Nothobranchius furzeri: one gene and its partner. The protein of the gene in region 1 binds, or shares a complex with, the protein of each later gene. Links are inferred from orthologs where the notes say so. Each region holds a gene or a part of one and is shown on either strand. Other genes may lie near its edges.

Region 1 (4,132 bases):
CACTATACTGAGAGACCATTTAAAGGCTCAGGAACCTTTACAGTTGTTTATATTTGCAATTATAATTTTGAGCTGATTGGGGTCTTGTTAAATATCACACAGTGACATTTTAATAGTCTTGATTAATGTAATGTTCCTGTTTGTAGTTCCTCCTGTTAAGTGCCCATCTGTTTCAATTATTCAGTTTGATAAAAAAAAAACATTTTGACATACATTTTATTATGTTCCAGTCATTAGTCATTTATATTTCAGTATTGTAGTAATTTATAGTAAATTAAGTAAGTTTAATCAAGAGGGGAACCCATTTTTCTTGCATTCTTTAGTGAAAAAAAAGGTAACAAAATGTTTATTTTTCTTGGTGATTAGTTACTTTTAGTTACTTTTTGGACAACGACGTGATCAGTAACTATACCTAATTACTTTTTAAAAGTAACTTTCCCAACACTGACCATTAGCATTAGCAACCCCACCACACAGCAGAAGCTCCTCCAGGCTTGTGCTATCTGTAGAGACAAAACATCCACGTTGGATAACAACAACGCGACTCTACCATAACGTGGTAGTTTGTTTGTCCCAGTGTCCCTGTGATATCTTGTGGCCTGTCCAGGGTGTACTTTGCTAATGACTGCTGGGGAAAGACTGCTCCCTTTGACCCTAGTGAGGAAAAGCAGTCAAGATCATAGGTGAGTAATTTTTAACAAATATTTCAAAACATTTCTGAACCCAAATCTAACCATATTTTCATATTTTTCTGTCCCAATCATGGTTGCCATTAGCAACAGCTGGTAGATGGAAAATTAGGGTCATAACTCTACAGGCAGCAAACATGCTCAATGCAGAACATCATCAAACACATTATCCACAGAAAAAATTTCATTATACCAGCCACAGGAGAGCCCAGTGCTAAGCAATTCTGAGCAATTTAGTCTCGATGTGGCAATTTGAAAAATTGTACTGTGATTATTTGTTTTAAGATAAATGTTTTAAAACAACATGAATACATCAGTTTTGATGAAAAGTTTATCTCACTGCACAGGTACTCTAATGATTGCTGCAGACACTTGCATATTTATATCCTTAGAAAAAGCCAATAAATACTGCAGTCTATTTATTTGGAAGAAGACCAAGTAGTACTATTTGTTTTTAGAAGCATAAGAAAAACAATGGACGTATTCCCTTGAATGGTGTGGAATGATGATAGAGGCTACACACGAATTTAAAACATAAAAAAGAAAAGATTGCAACATAGACACAACCTATTTTCAATTAACCTACAAATAAACCAAAGAAAATAATAACTGTATTTAATGTACCCAGATTTTCTAAAAAAAAAAAAAAAAAAAAACTTTCTTTGAGTGAGTAAGAAGTACACTTTGACCAATGGAGCGGAATCAGAACAGTACGACATTTGTTCCTACCCGGATCATTTCATAGGGTAACGCGCCGGCAGTGGTCGTTTGTCAGTGCCTGAACGACTCAGAATTAATTTACCTGTTTTGTTTTAGTTCTTGATCTCTGTACACATTACGTAAGTGTTTTGTTCTTTTAAAACCAATTGATGTGAAGCTGAAGCTATTATTTGCCCTCCAGGGGAGCCTAAATTTAGACTTTTATTACACGAAGACCGACTAGCTAAGCTAAGCTACTGTTAGCATAAAGAGTGGAAGATCAAACGTTGTCCAACAAAGAAAATGTGTAAATAAAGGGCAACGACCGAATATTTGGAATTGTATTTTGTTTGTTAATATGTCAATGTTGATCATTTGGATAAAACTCACATAAATAACGGCGATTAAGGATTCGAATGCAGTGGAAAAATACACTGCATGAACGAATTAGATAACTTTGCTAACATCGTTAGCCTTTCCAATATATTTGAAATGTTCGTTTGTATTTTGCTTTAAATAATAGTCTTTTTGGGATGTTTAATGTTGGAGTGGTAGTTTTTAAGCTTTAATTCTGTCTTTTTCCCTAGTTGTCACCATACATCCAGATTAAAGTAGTCACCCACACGTTGCGTTATCAGTACTTAGTCCTGGGACCTTCTAAGGTTTTGTTGTTGCGTTTGTGTTGTCTTTTCTTTTGCTAAATCAAAAGCGCATGCGATCTGCTGATTGTGTCAATAAATAGTATCAATACTGTTAAGAAGTAGCTTTTGCTGCTACGATTAGCTGCAAATACTCGTTTATTTTGTTTGTCTGACCCAAATTAAAAAGAGACTGAGCTGGAGGTTTTTTTTCTTCTTTCCACCATTGTTGGAAATCAATGTTAAAAAGTCTGAAACTTTTTAGCTGTTCTAAAAGTTAAAACATGTAGAAAAGCAGTAGTGATGCACCGATATGACATTTTTGGGCTGATACCGATATCTGATATTGAGCTCACTGTTATGGCTGATAACTGATATTTGCCGGTACAGATATGCTGACATTAAAGCTGAATTTACATTATGTACACGCAACACACACATTTATGGGTCTGAGATTATTTCATTCACTGTTCACATGACTAAACAATTACACATCACCCCCCTCACCCTCTGAAACAGGCGAACAAATGGAGACGAGATGGAAAAAATATCGGCCTGGTTTTATTTATCGAGCCGATATGTTAAAAATTGACCAACATCGGCCGATACAGATATTGATGCTGATATATTGTTCATCCCTAGAAAGCAGCATTTTAAAAAGCTTTACCTGCTCAGTATGTGCCTTATACAACATCATACAGGCTAATGTGTGTATGGAGTTCTGACACAATGTAGTAAAAACAAGTGATGCTTTTTGCATCCCAGCATGAATTACGTACAGCATGCACACATTATCTTTTTAAGAATAACAGTACATCTTCATCTGGACACTGATGAAACCCCAAGTTTATTTTAAAACTTAAAGGACTTCTTTCCCTGGTGAATCAAACAAGATTGACCTTTACAAACAACATTGTACAAGAACAACGTCTAATGAATCAGCCTAATATTCTAGAAAATGTAGAATTTTTTTATATAAATGATTTTAAAGAACATCACGGGTGATGTTTTTCTATCCTTTCCCCATCCAGAGTCTTTGAGTGAAAATGACGGACCGATACAACATCCACAGTCAGCTGGAACATCTTCAATCAAAGTACATCGGCACAGGACATGCTGATACCAGCAAGTGGGAATGGCTGGTCAACCAACATCGTGACTCATATTGCTCCTACATGGGACACTTTGACCTGCTAAACTACTTCTCCGTGGCTGAGAATGAGAGCAAGGCCCGCGTTCGCTTCAATTTGATGGAGAAGATGCTTCAGCCATGTGGGCCCCCAGCAGACAAGCCCGATGATGCTTAAATAACTCCAGAGTGAGCTTTTGTCCCTGGAAATTCTTTTTTCTACCATTAAATCCTGTTTGACCCTATCAAAAATAATTGGATCATCCATTTATAGTAGTTTTGTTTGCATATGGACAGCACTGAGGCAAAACAAATTATTTCAAGATCTCAATGTTTACAAGAACGGTAAATGTGTCTAAGTGATGCACAATTATCTGTGAAGAGATTGAAGAGATTGATGATTACAATGTGCCCATGATAAGTTTTGCTTATTCATTAAAATTTGACCTTTTTCTACAATCTTATTTATTTTACAGCCAGCTATTCATCTATTCTTTCACAACACTTTTATTTGTCATCATTTGGATTGAATGTGATTTGGGTTTATTTGAATAAACATTCATAGGTGGCAGGTAGCCTTTTGAAGCCTTTTACTCTGAAATGCTGGTGTTTTTCAGCTACACCCAATACTTTTCTGCAATATTAAGAAAAAAAAGAGAATTTAATGCAGATAATCTTTATTTTATTATAGTTGTAGCAAAATGCTTTTACTCAACTACAACAATAACTGATGCACTGTGGTTCAAATGCTGAAACTGCTTATTTGCAGTAGGAAATTTCACGGAAGAAAATTATCTGAAAAATCAGTGGGTGAAATTTAGAAAAGTCCACCAAAAGGTGGTTGAAGAAAAAAAATAACGGTGTTAAAAACAACAGAACACAGGTTTATGATGTTATTAAAAATTGCCAAAAGACTGCTTTCAAAACCAGCCGACCTGCTTTTTCAAGACAAAACTGGGAACTGCTGACACACAAAA
Region 2 (4,060 bases), on another chromosome or scaffold:
CCAGCTTCTCAGCCTCCCTCTTCTTCAAATATTCCCGACGAGATTGTTTCCTCAACTCTGGCAGCTGCAAGCAGAAAAGTCACACAGTCACCGTGAACTCGGCAGCTGGAGGAGATCGGGACACGAGCACCAACCATGTTCTTCTGACCATCTTCAGCCATCTTCAGACGCTTCTGAGCTTCTTCGTAAGCCTGCAGGAGAAACACAGCAGGAAAATTTTCCACCGGATGAAGATGACAAATAAAACAACGGGTCGGGATGCTGCCATCCTCCTCCTCCCACCTTCTTGTCCGTCCGCTCGGCGATGTTTCGGGTCTTTTCTTTGTCCTTCTCTTTCACCCTCTGAGCAAATGCGTCTCTCTCCTTGATGTCCTCCAGCCGTACCCTCTCCTCCTTCTCCCACTCCTCTTCCTCATCATCTTCTCTTTTAACAGACGTTCGGTCCTCCTGGAAAGAATCGCCCCTGAAATCAGAAACAACAAACCAGGATGAAGGTTCATGTTCCTGAGCTTGGATCCTCATTTAAAACATCGTAGAGATGAAGAATGTTCTGTGGTTCTGGATCAGCTGCTCTTCGACCTTTTTAAATGTTTTCTTTACTCTTTGGCTGATTTTTCTCCCGTTTTCAGTCCAGCCTTGTTGCCTTGACTATCTTTGTTTTTGCTCAGCCTAAATAAACGAATAAATAACCTTTGAAGAGTTTCATCTTCACTCGACGAGTCTTTCTTCTGTCTGATGTTCCTTTTCTGGTTTCCTCTGTCTTTCTCTTTACTTTTCTTCTTTCCTTTCTGTTTTTCCCTTGCAGCCACTTCGTCGCTCTCGCTGTCACTGTCCTCCAACAACGTGTACGTCCGATTCTTCCTCTCCATTTCGATAGCCTGTCGCTCTATTGCCTTGGACGGCTTCTCGACAGCCTGCTGACGGGGAATCTGGAACACAGCAGAGAAAGATCAGCACACGAGCCTCTACACGAGGTTCCGCGAGCACTATTTTATAAAAACCTTTTCATAAAGCTCCTTCGCGAACGCTGTCACAGTCTGATCGATGTCGATGGTCCCCGTCTGCTCCAGGCGACTCACAAAGTCCTCAGAGCTTGACGCTTTCCGAGCAAGGCCGATCATGAACTGAGGGACGTATCGATCGCTCAACCCCAGGATGTCATGCAGCCGGTCGTTCACCCACTGCTCCAAATTTGCCATGGCGCCTGCCGAGGGAGGAGCAGGTGGCTTTAATTCAGGTGAAGTGGTGCAAATGTTTAGAGTGTGAGTAAAAATGACCTAAATAAATCAGACTTTTATTATTTATGACAGAATTTGAACGTAGATCTTATGAACCCTCTCTGCCCTTCATGGCAGCACCTGGTTTAGATCACAATGACCCGCATGCTAAAACATATGAGAGGTGCTGATGTGATTTTAAGATGACCAGAGAGAAAAATAGGAATTCATCACGACCCAAACCATCATCACATCTTTTCTAACATCGATCAAGGGCAAAGGTCAAATCTGTCAAACTACATCAAACCAAGAACAGATTTAAAGAAAGAAGGAAGGACAGAAGATTTAAAACCAAATAAAATCTCAGATTCTGTAAAACTTTAAAAATGACTAAATTTACTTGTAACAAAGCTGATATGAAATTATAATATTTACTAAAATAATCAATATTAATAACGATTCTGAACCTCAGCACCAACACAGTTGATTAGTTAATTCTGATGTTAGCGAATGAAGCAGCTGGCTGCTCTTATGTTATTGTTTATGTGTCTGATCTTATTTTACATTTAACAATAATACATTGCAAAGATTCCAGCTTTGAAATAAGAGTAACGCATAAAAATGTGAGTTTCTGTGTTTTTGTGGTGGCATCAGTATCAAGTCTGAGTCAGTATAAACTTGCTAGACAAGGGCAAAGACACATTTAAATGGGTGATTTTAGCTTTAAAGGTTTGTTTTCTTTTTTATCTTTTCGTGATAAACGTTTACACTGATTCTGCTTTTGGGGTCGATACCCAAGTCTGATTTTTGTTCAGCTCTGACCTGCCCTCACTGTGCGATAAATCTAAAACATTTTAATAATTTATTTTAATAACTTCAGAATTATGATTCTGGAGGCAAAAACGTGCAAGTTTAGGAAATCATAGCTGGAGTGAATTAGTGATGGTGAGTTCATGCACAGGGGAAAATGTCCAGTTGTCCTTTTTTATTATCAGCGCTTCAGCTGAATGTGTTTCTGATCACCACCTATAGCTGATTTCTAAAGAAGATCAGCTTTTAGGATATTTTTGAGAAAGCTTGAATCTCCCAACTTGTATTAAATAATTGTTTAGAAGTTTTTCTTACATCTGGATCAATGAATAAAATCAAAGTTGTACTTGTCCAACCTGAACTCCATTTACGTAAAGCTATTATGAAACGTTTACTTTGTTTTGATTATCCAGTCAATCTTTCCCTAATTTATCCAGTAGTCGAGTTGACCCTTTCATTTGAGCAGCCACTGTGTTATTTTGGTTTCATAAAGACTTTTGTTATGAAAAACTTTATTATAAAAACGGTTTCTCACAAATAAAACACTAGATTCACTTACCGCTTTTTAAAATCGCTCATGCAACGTTATTGGGATGAAAATATCCGCCTGAAAGTAAAAAAACTGAGAGTTACGTCGTCATTTATCTAAGAGTTTTCTGTAAGAGCACTTAACGGAAACAGTCGGCAGCCCATAGCCATGGATATTAATGTATTTACGGCTCTATTTGTCAACAAATTCAACACATTTTTGCGTTTATTAGCTTAGCTTGCAACACGCAATGGGAAAAACGGAAATACGTCACATGGAAACAGCGGAAGAACAGAGTGAAGTAGAGGAGGTCATGGCGCTTACTGCCTTCCGGTGGTCATAGGAAGAACTACAACAAGAACATTAAACCACTTCGTGTCATAAAATCTGTCTCGTACTCATCTTTCATTTATTAAGGATATATTTTAGTGTAAGTTACCATAAGCTAACATTAGTTAATACTGAAAATTGTAAAGTAAAATATTCCAACATCTCCATTTTTATTTTCTGCAGAAATGTAGCATATTCAAGCTGATCAGGGATAATTTGCTCTAGCAAGTGGTTGAAAAATCAGGAAATAAATATTTATTGCTGACTTTTTATGAAGGAATATAAAACTACTTGTGACTTGTAAGAATCAAACAACAGAATAGAGAGTGTAAGAAAATAGAACATAAGATCAGTCTTTATGCAGATGATGTTTTACTCTTTCTCCAGAATTCTCAATCCTCTCTCTCCCATTCAATAGAACTGATAAACTCTTTTTCAAGAGTTTCAGATTACTCTATAAACTGGTTAAAATCCATAGTTCTACCAATTAATTTCTCTTTTGTCAATTTGCTTAATACACAATTGGAGTCAGGGAATATTACATACCGGGGAATTAATTTCTCTCCCAAGCTGGCAGATCTAACCAAACTGAACTACATCCCACTTTTAAAGAAAGTGAAAGATGATCTTGCAAGATGGAAATCCTTACCGATATCACTCATGGGGAGGGTTGCTACAATTAAAAAGATGGTCTTACCCAGAATAAATTACTTATTCTCGATGATCCCAAACAAACCACCAGCTGACTGGTTTAAATCTCTGGACTCCTCAATTACTAAATTCCTTTGGCAGGATAAACCTCCACGAATTAGCTTTAAAACACTTCAGAAGACCAAAGACAGAGGAGGACTGGACTTACCCAACTTTTATTATTATTTCTTAGCCAACAGGCTGCAATATATACCAAGATGGTTGCAAGATAACCCACTAGATGAGTCCTGGTTAGATATAGAACAGATACTTTGCAATACGATAGAACTTTCAGACTTACCATTTATTAGCTCAAGCATAAGAAAACACGAAGGCTTCAAAAGTATTAGTATCAGCACCTCTCTGACAGCATGGTGGGAGTATCTAAAAATGACAGAGTCTTCACTAGTACCATGCAGACGCACACCTATCTGGAATAATCCTGACATTTTGCAAAATAACCAAATGATGAACCTTCCGGACT

The links.
Region 2: sf3b5 (region 1) and dhx16 share a complex: the UniProt entries of both Homo sapiens proteins name them as parts of the minor spliceosome. The link is inferred for Nothobranchius furzeri from reciprocal best matches to the Homo sapiens genes SF3B5 and DHX16.

The regions. Positions count from the first base shown.
Region 1 is NC_091752.1:24,290,257-24,294,388, forward strand, and holds sf3b5 (splicing factor 3B subunit 5), read left to right. Parts: upstream 1-1,415; 5' UTR 1,416-1,528; intron 1,529-3,057; 5' UTR 3,058-3,072; coding exon 3,073-3,333; 3' UTR 3,334-3,619; downstream 3,620-4,132. UniProt on the Homo sapiens protein: Component of the 17S U2 SnRNP complex of the spliceosome, a large ribonucleoprotein complex that removes introns from transcribed pre-mRNAs.
Region 2 is NC_091745.1:60,403,064-60,407,123, reverse strand, and holds the start of dhx16 (pre-mRNA-splicing factor ATP-dependent RNA helicase DHX16), read right to left. Parts: upstream 2,805-4,060; 5' UTR 2,587-2,804; intron 1,205-2,586; 5' UTR 1,200-1,204; coding exon 1,002-1,199; intron 930-1,001; coding exon 691-929; intron 464-690; coding exon 283-463; intron 192-282; coding exon 135-191; intron 65-134; coding exon 1-64. UniProt on the Homo sapiens protein: Required for pre-mRNA splicing as a component of the spliceosome. Contributes to pre-mRNA splicing after spliceosome formation and prior to the first transesterification reaction.